3 linked regions of the Canis lupus familiaris genome follow. The protein of the gene in region 1 interacts with the protein of each later gene in a pairwise test. Links are inferred from orthologs where the notes say so. Each region holds a gene or a part of one and is shown in the gene's direction. Other genes may lie near its edges.

Region 1 (3,652 bases):
TTATTTATTCATGAGAGACACAGAGAAGCACAGAGGCAGAGGGAGAAACAGTCTTCCTGCGGGGAGCCCAATGTGGAACTCGATCCCAGGAGCCTGGGATCACGCCCTGAGCTAAAGGCAGATACTCAACCACTGAGCCATCCAGGCGTCCCTTAATTTTTATTTAAAAAAAAATTTCCCAGGGATGCCTGGGTGGCTCAGTGGTTGAGCACCTGCCTTCACCCCAGGGTATGATCCTGGAGTCCTGGGATTGAGTCCCACATCAGGTTCCCTGAATGGAGCCTACTTCTCTCTCTGCTTGTGTCTCTCCCTCTCTCTCCCTATGTCTGTTTTGAATAAATAAATAAAATCTTCAAAAAATAAATAAATAAAAATTAAAACTTTTTTTAAATTTCCCCATGAGGTGCCTGGGTAATGAAGTCAGTTAAGCATCCTGGTCTGGATTTCAGCTCAGGTCATAATCTCAGGGTCATGGGATTGAGCCCCAAGTCAGGTTCCATGCTTAGTGGGGAGTCTGCTGGAGATTTTCTCTCCTGTACCTCTCCCCTCCTCACAATTGTCCCCCCCTCAAACAAATAAATCTTTATATATTTTTTCCCTACTTTATGATGAATTGAGGGCCTTTTGCATTGCTGTAGAGAGAAAGATATTATTTTTTAGGTTTTGTTTTTTTTTTTAAGATTTATTTATTTATTCATGAGAAACACACAGAGAGAGGCAGAGACATAGGCAGAGGGAAAAACAGGCTCCCTACAGAGAGCCTGATACAGGACTTGATCCCGGATCCCAAGATCACGCCCTAAGCTAAAGGCAGATGCTCAACCGCTGAGCTACCCAGGCGTTCCTCTTTCTGTTCTTCTATCAAGCATTATTTAAGTTTCAGCCTTGTTACTCTACCTCTATAAAGACCCAATCATCCCTTCTGTGTTTGTATTTCCAAAAACTAGGTGTTGTATAAAATGCATCTATAAGCTTACATTAATTTTTAAGATTGTGTTGCAACTCATTTACTAACTTCAGAATATCTGCTAACTAGTAATACCTATATTTATGTAATACTTTAGCTTTCTAAAAGTGCTTTTGGTTTTTTTTTTATTTTTATTTTTTTTATTTTTTTTATTTATGATAGTTACAGAGAGAGAGAGAGAGAGAGAGGCAGAGACACAGGCAGAGGGAGAAGCAGGCTCCATGCACCGGGAGCCCGATGTGGGATTCGATCCCTGGTCTCCAGGATCGCGCCCTGGGCCAAAGGCAGGCGCCAAACCGCTGCGCCACCCAGGGATCCCTGCTTTTGGTTTTAGATACATATATTTAATTTGTCATCAAAGTAACTCTTTTTTTTTATTGGAGTTCAATTTGCCAACATATAGCATAACACCCAGTGCTCATCCCATCAAGTGCCCCCCTTGGTCCCCGTCACCCAGTCACCCCCGCCCACCTCCCTTTCCACCACCCCTTGTTCGTTTCCCAGAGTTAGGAGTCTCTCATGGTCTGTCTCCCTTTCTGTTATTTCCCACTCATTTTTTCTCCTTTCCCCTTTATTCCCTTTCACTATTTTTTTATATTCCCCAAATGAATGAGACCATATAATGTTTGTCCTTCTCTGATTGACTTATTTCACTCAGCATAATACCCTCCAGTTCCATCCACGTCGAAGCAAATGGTGGGTATTCATCGTTTCTAATGGCTGAGTAATATTCCATTGTATACATAAACCACATCATCTTTCTCCATTCATCTTTCGATGGACACCGAGGCTCCTTCCACAGTTTGGCTATTGTGGACCTTGCTGCTATAAACATCCGGGTGCAGGTGTCCCAGCAATTCACTGCATCTGTATCTTTGGGGTAAATCCCCAGCAGTGCAATTGCTGAGTTGTAGGGCAGATCTATTTTTAACTCTTTGAGGAACCTCCACACAGTTTTCCAAAGTGGCTGCTCAAAGTAACTCATTAAAGTAGGTTTTATTACTCCTATTTTTTAGTCAACAGAAACACAAGTCCACAGAGGTTAAATGCCTTTTTTAATACCATATAGCTGTTAATGACTAGAGCCAGAGCTCTTGCCCATTCCACATCTTCAAACTTTAACCCAATACTCTTTCTACTATCAGCTGTCTACTCTGCTAAAAGGAGGCTCAGTCTTAAGTTATGTTCAATTCTATAGTATAAGAATTTTGTGTTTTGAAGTTACTTATGATGAGATTTCATATCAACAAAAGAATTTGAGTCTCCAGTGGAATTTATTAAAATATGATTTTTTTATATGGTGAAGTTTAAATATCTTAGGAAAAATATTTATGGATAGGAATATCAAGGTATTAAGATATATTTACTGTATCATTTCTCTCTGCCTTTTGTCAGCCAAAGGAAGAAAAGCTGACAACTCTACCCTATCTCAAATGTTGGTTAATCATGAGTCTGATACATGGCTAAGACCCTTACTCTTAATAATTCTGTTTTAGTGTAAGCTTTCTCATATGCTTGTCTTAGAATGTTTATCCTATTTCTTTAGTAGGAAGAACGTTTTACCACTCCTTATTTTTTTTTAGATTTTCAGATTCTAAGTCCAGGACTCCTCCTCAAGAAGAATTGACTGCTCGGGTATCATCTCCTGTATTTGGAGCTACTTCTAATGTGAAACGTAGTTTAGGCTTGAATACGAGTTTATCCCCTTCTCTCTTAGAGACTGGGAAAAAAAACCTCCTGAAAACAGCACCCTTCAACAACACTTCTACTTCTAGATCAGAGAAAACCAGATCAAAATCTGAAGATAGTGCCCTTTTCACACATCATAATCTTGGGTCTGAAGTGAACAAGATTATTAGCCAGTCATCTTCAATTAAGCAGATGCTTATCAGTAAAAACATAAGTGAATCCAAAAATGAACAGGATAGTTTTGATCACATTAAAGATACTGTCAATGATAAAGAAAAACATGCAGTGCCCCTGAAATCATTGGGAAGCAGGACATCCAAAAGGAGGAAAGTTGAAGAAGAAAGTGAAGACGAACTAAGCTGCCCCCAAGGCTCTTTTGATAAAGAAAATGCTTTTCCTTTTTTACTGGATAGTCATTCTTCCATGAACGGAGGAGACTATGTAATGGATAAACCTCTAGACCTGTCTGATCGATTTTCAGCTATTCAGCGTCAAGAGAAAAGCCAAGGAAGTGAGACCTCTAAAATCAGATTCAGGCAAGTGACTCTCTATGAGGCCTTGAAGCCCATTCCAAAGGGCTCTTCCTCAAGCCGTAAGGGCTTGAGTGGGAGCATTGTGTTTACCAGAGATTCCCCAGAGGAGCCCTGTTTACAGGAGTGCGTCCTCCAGTCCTTGGAGAAATCATATCCAGATAATAAAACACCATTACAAATCAAGGAAGAAAATCCCATCTTTAAAATCCCTCTACGTCCACGTGAAAGTTTGGAGACAGAGAATCTTTCCGATGATGTGAAGGTTTGTGTTAAATGTTCAAGTACTTTTATTAAAATTATTGCTCATGATTTCATCTAGATGCTAATAATTCTTTCTGTTTTAGGGAGCTGATTCTCACGAGCCAACAAAAATAGCCAGGTCGGTCCGTGGAGCATGTGAACTTACATCCGTTCTTCAGTTAAATCCATGTAGAGTTACTAAAACAAAGTCTGTACAAAACAG
Region 2 (4,212 bases), on another chromosome or scaffold:
ATCTCATTCACCATTTCAACCAGGAGGTCACTTCTTTCCTATTTAAAAATGATGATTTTTCCTACTGCATTAGCCACAGGCTTGGGGCTTGGGGAGGATCCGTAGCCCACAGCCTTTTAATTTCTGACTTGTACTCTGAGATCTTTAGGGTTCAAAGAGGGAAGACTAGATCTCATTTTGGGCTTCTATCTCATTTGTACCTACTACTTAATCTTTTCTAGTTAACTTATTTTGTTCTCCAGTGATTGTGTTTAACCATTTTCTCACATGGTAGTTGACAACATAGGCTCTAGGATGAAGCTCCCTAGATTTAAATCTTGACTCTACCACGTACTTACTGGGTTATTCAGCCTCCTTGAATCTCAGTTCCTCACCTGTAAATAATACCTACCTTATAAGGGATGCAATAATGAGCATAATGCATAGCATTATTATTTATTAGTTGTTACTTGGAAGTCCCAGCTGCATTTTGTCTGTTTGTTTGCTGTTGATTTCATGGCTCTCATCTCTAGTGTTTCTTTCTTTAGTGGTCCTTGGTACCTTAATTTTGGTTAGGAGGGCACCTTGGTGCTCAGAGGACTGTTCCTGGAGAAATGTTTTGAGCCCTTGTATTGCCCATGGCCTACATCATCACCCTCCTCTTCTGCAGTACTGCTGCAAGATGACAGCAATGTGGACTGACTATAGCAGGAATGCCAGCAGCATCTTTAACCATAATAAAGACCAGGATTAGCTGAGGGTTTCTAACTAGATGCCCAACTCTTTCCTATTTCCTCGTGTCCATTCATTGAACACATCATCCAGCTCTTGCTATGTGCCAACTGCTAGGATCAATAAGAGTCAAAAGTAGCTCCAAATTCTTAGGGACTCACAGATCCTTGGTGAAAGATAGCCATGGGCATAGCTGACAAGCATGTCCTGGGCATTAAGATGTCCCCCAGTGTGTGCCAGCTGCGTTAGCCTCAGTGGGGAGCTTGTTAGAAACAATATCTGAGGGTGTTTTACAAGAACCACAGTGTTCATGTGGATAATGCCTGGTGACAGATCCCCCAGGGCATGTGGATGTTTGTTTCTCTTGGACCCTGCCAACCAGTCCTCTATTTCTGAAGCAGTGTTTACAGACACAGTCTGCCGGGAAGGCTGCTCCAGCAAAGACTGTGTCACTGCTCTGGGGAATGTTTTCTAGAGCTTCCAGAAATGCCTCAAAACTCAGGACTGGCACAGCAAGTGACTGCTTTGCTGTTAGAGCTCTTAATATGAAGGGCCAGGAGCGACCCTGGCAAACGCAGGGCTGACGTGTGTGGGAACAGTGGGAGTGACCCTGGCAGGGAAGCAGGGGAGGCCTGGATATTGTTTCTCCGTCCCCTGCCCTGCTACTCTCTGCCCCGGGCTTGGAGCTCTCAGGCACCCTGGGATGGCGTTCCCGGGCAGGGTGCACCCTTGTGTTATCCCAGAGAATGAAGAAATCCCCCAGGCAGTCCTTAACAGTGTCCACCAGGCTAATGGCAATGAAGACGAGCGGGCTGTGTCCAAATTACAGCGCAGGCACAGTGACGTAAAGGTCTACAAGGAGTTTTGTGACTTTTATGCAAAATTGTAAGTGTCTCCTCTCCTGGAAGAGGAGCTCCTATCTTCCAGATCTAGTCTGCTTGGGCTTTGAGTTCAGTAGCCATTGATAGTTTTATTTCCTCGACTCTGAGCAGGGGCATTCCAGAGTGATGGAGGGGAGGGAGGCCTATTCCAGCAGGCGGGGAGATACACCAGATGAGATGCAGAAGTAAAGGAAAATGCTGCCTTTAAAGTAATAGTAGTAATGTCTTTGTGTTCAGTAGGTTCCTCATAATAGTACATTTTCATTATGTAGTCCAAGGGGGAGGCTTAGAGTTGCTGCTGGCAGGGTTTATAATAGAAAGATTGTATACTCTTAAACTTCCCACAGATGACAAGTTGGTTGAGGGAAACAGTAAAACTGAATTACAGACTGTTGATAAAGATACACATTTTTGTTAGGTTTAACAGCAATTTGAGGTAGGCAAACTGGATTTCTTAATATTGTCTTAAGGGGATTGAATCAATAAATAAGAATGTTGTGTATTTAGCAAATATAGGTGTGTGTGTGTGTGTGTGTGTGTGTGTATATATATATGCCATATATATGCCATTAACTCTAAAAAGTCTAATTCATGTTATTAAATGAGTTTTAGCAAACAATTTTAAAAAGTAGTGCAAAGTAGTAGTTAGACTCATGGAAGATTGTTGATCTTCCGCAAAGTCATAAGCTTAGAATTAACTGCAAATCCTCAATTTGTCAATCATGAGTTAAGGGGAATTTAACTGACCTGATTCTCTATTTCCATTAATCTATTATGTGTGGTATTATAACAGATGTCCTCTGTTTTCACGACTTATAAAGAGTTCTGTTTAAATGTAATGGGGAAAAAAAAAAAAAATAAATGTAATTGGGCAATTATAATTATACTGTAACCAAAATGCTCTGTGGACTCTTAAGATGCTTTTTGGATTTACACATTTTTTTCGTTTTGATGCCAGCAAATTTGTTTTACATACTTTTAACAGTGAGACACTTGAAAAAAAGCCCAGTGATACCAAGTTTTCTGTGTATGGTTCATCTGTAGAAGTGGATTGGGTAAATCAGTTATTACTGGCCAAATGTGAAGGTTCTGTACTAAAGGCTTCTACATATATATTTCCCAACATATATATTCTTTATCATCAATACTTCTTAGCAAAAATCCTTTTTTGAAAAATTAGCCGACTAATTATAACTAGCCAGATGACAGTTGTAACTATCATTCATGACTTCTAAAATGTAACTTTTATATATAAAAACAGTTATAAACAAATGCATAGGTCACTGTAGATTCATCATCAGTCATAACAGACTACGTTTATGGTAGAGATGTTGGTAGCAGGGGAGGCTTGCACGTGGGGATGAAGGGGAACTCGACTCCTTTTGCCTCAGTTTCACTGTAAACTTAAAACTGCTCAAAAAAACAGTCAATTGAAAGAAATATATAGTGCCAGAGGGTCAAAGACAAGAAAGGAAAGTTAATGTAAACAGTTCAGTAGGTTAGTGAGATTATTAGGGGTTCTTTCCTGAAAGTTTCCTCTAATGTAGTTTCTTTTCTTATCCTGCTTGTTATTAAAAGGAATACTTCTTCAAAAATACATATTATCTCCAAAGCTAGTTTATTTTTCCTGTGTATGAGAAACTGTCTACCTATTTTCTCACTATTTCAGTATTTGAATTAGAATATAAACAGTGTTTAGTACAATGAGTAGGAAACAGGTGACAAATGCTTTGATATTAGGACTGCTTTCCACTCTTAAGGGCAGCCCAGGTGGCTCAGCGGTTTAGTGCCGCCTTTGGCCCAAGGCGTGATCCTGGAGACCTGGAATCGAGTTCCGCATCGGGTTCCCTACGTGGAGCCTGGTTCTTCCTCTGCCTGTGTCTCTGCCTCTCTGTGTCTCTCATGAATGAATGAATGAATGAATGAATGAATAAATAAATAAATAAATAATAATAAAAAGGTATTGAGGTCTGCAGAGAGCTTTTGCTTATCAATATTTACTGAAAATACAAACTAAGAACAAAATTAAATATGTATTCATTTGAGATACATAAACTCATTATGCATTTATTCATAAGTGTTAATTTTTATGAAAAATAACTCTTTCCAAAATGAAAAAAGTTTGGTGGGAAAAGTGGCATTGAATTACATATTTTCAAATCTTCATTAATGACAGTCTAAGACAGTTTCTCAGTTCTGTTTCTGCATTTATCTTAGTGTTATATGTTGCCTTAGATATATATACAAAGAAAATAGGCCTCCCACAGATGCAGGTGGAAAAAGGACCTTTTGAACCCCTAAATGGGTCACAGTGACCCCTATACTTTGAGAACTACTTGATCTAGATAATGGAGCAGGATATTCCAGAATGTCCTTCTCTTCCTGCTTTTTGAGAGTTCTGTGAAAATTATAAGGATCTGGTGAATCTTTTGAGAGGATTCAAAATTAATAATGATGCCTTTATATTTGGGTAGCATCTTCTGGCTTTCAGAGTTATATACTTTTTAAAAATTTTTTCCTCGAAACGATATTAGGGCAGGTGTTGGTTTACCATACTTCATCCAGGGACACCTGCAGATTTTGATTAGGAGAAAGGGGAAGTGCAGACCCTTCCAAGAGC
Region 3 (3,652 bases), on another chromosome or scaffold:
CAAAGGGACAGTTGAAGGAAACTATGTATCTTTAACTAGAATCCTGAGATGTTCAGAGCAGAGGTAACTATATCAGAGTTTGAAAACTAGAGAATGACAAATATGAAAGCCCCAAAATCATAGTGTTAGTAAGAATTCTCTTTGTTCATTATCTCCTGGGTGTTTGTATCTATAGAGTGCTGAATTTAGAAACTAGGTCATGGTTTCCCTTTACCACATCTAAGTTAGTATCTATTATATTATACTTCTTTGGCGAAAACTATTGAAATTTTAATGTGTTAGGCAATTTTATAAAGAGTTTGCTGTTAAACATTATGATTTACCATTGCACAGTGTTGGGAGAATTCTAAATAAGGATATTGAGAAACTTTAGGAAGTACTCTAAATTGCAAAGGTTAATAAAATACAGTATTAAACTTAGAACTGCATGGACAGAATTTGTATTTTACTATATGGAATGTGTAAATACCTCTCCTTTTCGTTGAGGGATAAGCAACAGTATTATGATTATTGGAAGAGTCAAATGATGTTTTAAAGAAGAGGCAGAAAGAAATCGTTTTTCTATCTGTTGTATAATTGAATTGATTATTATTTATGCCTTTTGGGTGAATTTTCTTTTATGATTCACTAAGGATTGATGGAAAAAGGATATTTGGCACTTTGTTGGGAGAATACCACTGTCAAAATTTATGTACCTAATAGTTTAAAAAATCACTAATTAATCACTTAATTAGTCTGATCAATATTAGACTAATTAACAAGAAATGTAATATTTTAGCTGTAGTCTATTTCTTAACCTTGAGCTCCATCCTGAGTTATATTTAGGCCTAAGGACAAGAGGCAGTGCATAAAGAGTTGAATACCTGGGCTGTAAACCTGCATAAGTGGACTTAAATAAGGTGCAAAAATAAAATCATTATGGAGACGAAAAGTGGAGGCAGAGTAATCCAGTTAAGTGACAGATAAGGAACTTTAGAAGCAAAGGTCAAATTATAGAATCTTCATCATAAACAATAGTAAATTGAACTTACCCAATATTTTAATGCAAGTAATACAGTCCTAGGCTTCAGTTGTATTTCCATTTTAAAAACTCAGTTTCTATCTTTAAATTTTTACCTCTGGGTTCAGATTATTTACTGCCATAATGGACTAAAATGGATTAAAAACAAAGAGTATATTGGGAGAAGATATTTACAGTATGTATAACTGAAAAGGTCAGTATCCAGGATTATATAAAGAACTAGTAACAAATGGTTGCATGATTGACAAACAACTACTAAAAGTGGGTAAAGAATGATTTCACAAAGGTCAAAACTCACATACCTATATGTGAGTATATATGTAAAGACGCTCAATTTCACTAGAAATCAAGGAAGTTCAAAGTAAAAAACAAAGTAACTGTCATTCTCTTCAAATTGGGGAAATTTGGAGTCTGATAAAACCTTTGGTCATTATTTGGTCATTATTCAGAGAAATGGGAGCTCTATGTTGCTGATGTACTTGGTGAGAGTATAAATTGCCATGGCCACTTAAATGGGAAATTCAGCCATATCTGGTCGAGCTGAAGATGCACAGTCTCTGACTTAGCACTTCTACTTATTGGTGTGGTTCCTAAAGAAGCTCTTACATACATCTACAAGGATGTATTGATTACAGCATTTTTTTGGTCAGAATGTAAAATTAGAAGCCTCAATTTCCATTGGTTGGGAAACCAATGCAAAAAATCATGGTAGTTCATACTAAAGAATATTTTTTTTAATTTATTTTTTATTGGTGTTCAATTTACTAACATACAGAATAATCCCCAGTGCCCGTCACCCATTCACTCCCACCCCCCGCCCTCCTCCCCTTCTACCACCCGTAGTTCGTTTCCCAGAGTTAGCAGTCTTTACGTTCTGTCTCCCTTTCTGATATTTCCCACACATTTCTTCTCCCTTCCCTTATATTCCCTTTCACTATTATTTATTAAAGAATATTTTTAATAGTTAAAATGAAGGAGATCTGCATGTATCAATGTTAATTTCAGAAATACTGAATGAAAAAGCAAGTTGCAGAATGCCACTTATATAGTATGATACTATTTATGTAAAATCTTAAAACTACACATACAAAAGATACTACATAGTGTTTATGGATACATGTAGACCTGTATTGTAACTACATTAGATAGTAAGTATAAAAACATGGATGGGAAGGATTCGGACTAACTTTAGAATGGTGGTGATCTTTGAGGAGGCAGAGCAGTCAGAGGAGAGTTTGGGAAGGAGGACAAAGTGGGAATTTGGCAGTTTCTGTAGAACCTAAAGCCAACACGGCAAAATTTATTTAGTATGTGAATGTTTGTTAAATCTGGCAGTTGGGTACATAAGTGTCGGTTACATTACTCTGATTAATTATTTTGTACTTTTATATATTTCATAATTTAAAAAATAAAACCCTTCGATAACCTCAGAAAAAAACAGATTAGGAAAATCGGAGAAATAAACCAGTCTGTAAGAGATGAAGCTAATCAGAGACATGAGTTGTGATATTTATCACTGTCTCAAAGTAATATAACTTAATGAGTTAAATTTTGATGTAATTACATTTGTGTACTCTATCTTGTTAATGTTGAAAATATCTCTCTTTATTTTTAATATCAGCTTAATTGAATTTTTTAACAAGATGAAGAAGTGGGAAGACATGGCAAATCTCCCCCCACATTTCAGAGAACGTACCGAGAGATTAGAAAGAAACTTCACTGTTTCAGCGGTAATTTTTAAGAAATATGAACCCATTTTTCAGGACATTTTTAAATATCCTCAAGAGGAGCAGCCCCGTCAACAGAGAGGAAGAAAACAGCGGTATGTTTTTGTATTTGTTCGTCAGGAATACGTATACATATATTTTATCTGTGCTACAGTTTTGATCTCTCAGTTTGTGCTCCTCCGCTTATTTTGCTAGTTGTTTGTTTGTTTTTAGAGAGAGAGAGAAAGTATATGTATGTGAGGTGGGGGGAGGGGCAGAGAGAATCTCAAGCAGGCTCTTTGCCCAGTAAGGAGGCAAGGAGGCAGGTGAAGAGGCCACTCTGGGGCCCAGCCTCACAACTGGTGAAGCCATGACCTGAGCCAAAATCAAGATTTGGTCTCATAACTGATTGAGCCACCCAGATGCCCCGATTTTGCTAGTCTTAAAAAAACAAATGCGATTTCAAAAATAATCTCTTTTTCTGGGCAGCCTGGGTGGCTCAGCGGTTTAGTGCCGCCTTCAGCCCAGGGCCTGATCCTGGAGACCCAGGATCGAGTCCCACGTCGGGCTCCCTGCATGGAGCCTGCTTCTCCCTCCTCCTGTGTCTCTGCCAATCTCTCTCTCTCTCTCTGTCTCTGTGTATCTCTCATGAATAAATAAATAAAATCTTTAAAAAAAAATAATCTCTTTCCAGCAGCTCTCTTTTAATAATAATTTCTTGCTTTCATTGCATGTTAGCCATGAAGAATTTGGCTTCCTTCACATTGCAAAATGCATGGAATTACTGTTTCAATAAACTTGCCCTTTTCACTGAAGTACCCAAAAATGCAAAAGTGAGACCTTAAATATTTTCAGCACTTAGTCACCTGAGTATAGAATCTGACTCCTTAATTTTCTGTTATTGTCTGTGTTGACTATTTCTATT

The links.
Region 2: the proteins of RBBP8 (region 1) and LIMS1 interact in a two-hybrid assay, tested with the Homo sapiens proteins (2 studies listed by BioGRID and IntAct). The two-hybrid records come from large-scale screens. The link is inferred for Canis lupus familiaris from reciprocal best matches to the Homo sapiens genes RBBP8 and LIMS1.
Region 3: the proteins of RBBP8 (region 1) and RBL2 interact in binary tests that used the Homo sapiens proteins (3 or more experiments, as listed by UniProt). The link is inferred for Canis lupus familiaris from reciprocal best matches to the Homo sapiens genes RBBP8 and RBL2.

Annotation. Positions count from the first base shown.
Region 1 is NC_049228.1:65,295,180-65,298,831, reverse strand, and holds part of RBBP8 (DNA endonuclease RBBP8), read left to right. Parts: intron 1-2,550; coding exon 2,551-3,451; intron 3,452-3,533; coding exon 3,534-3,652. UniProt on the Homo sapiens protein: Endonuclease that cooperates with the MRE11-RAD50-NBN (MRN) complex in DNA-end resection, the first step of double-strand break (DSB) repair through the homologous recombination (HR) pathway.
Region 2 is NC_049231.1:36,276,642-36,280,853, reverse strand, and holds the start of LIMS1 (LIM and senescent cell antigen-like-containing domain protein 1), read left to right. Parts: upstream 1-1,345; 5' UTR 1,346-1,414; coding exon 1,415-1,596; intron 1,597-4,212. UniProt on the Homo sapiens protein: Within the IPP (ILK-PINCH-PARVIN) complex, binds to F-actin, promoting F-actin bundling, a process required to generate force for actin cytoskeleton reorganization and subsequent dynamic cell adhesion events such as cell spreading and migration.
Region 3 is NC_049223.1:61,577,061-61,580,712, reverse strand, and holds part of RBL2 (retinoblastoma-like protein 2), read left to right. Parts: coding exon 1-63; intron 64-1,136; exon of another isoform or gene 1,137-1,214; intron 1,215-2,642; coding exon 2,643-2,843; intron 2,844-3,652. UniProt on the Homo sapiens protein: Key regulator of entry into cell division. Directly involved in heterochromatin formation by maintaining overall chromatin structure and, in particular, that of constitutive heterochromatin by stabilizing histone methylation.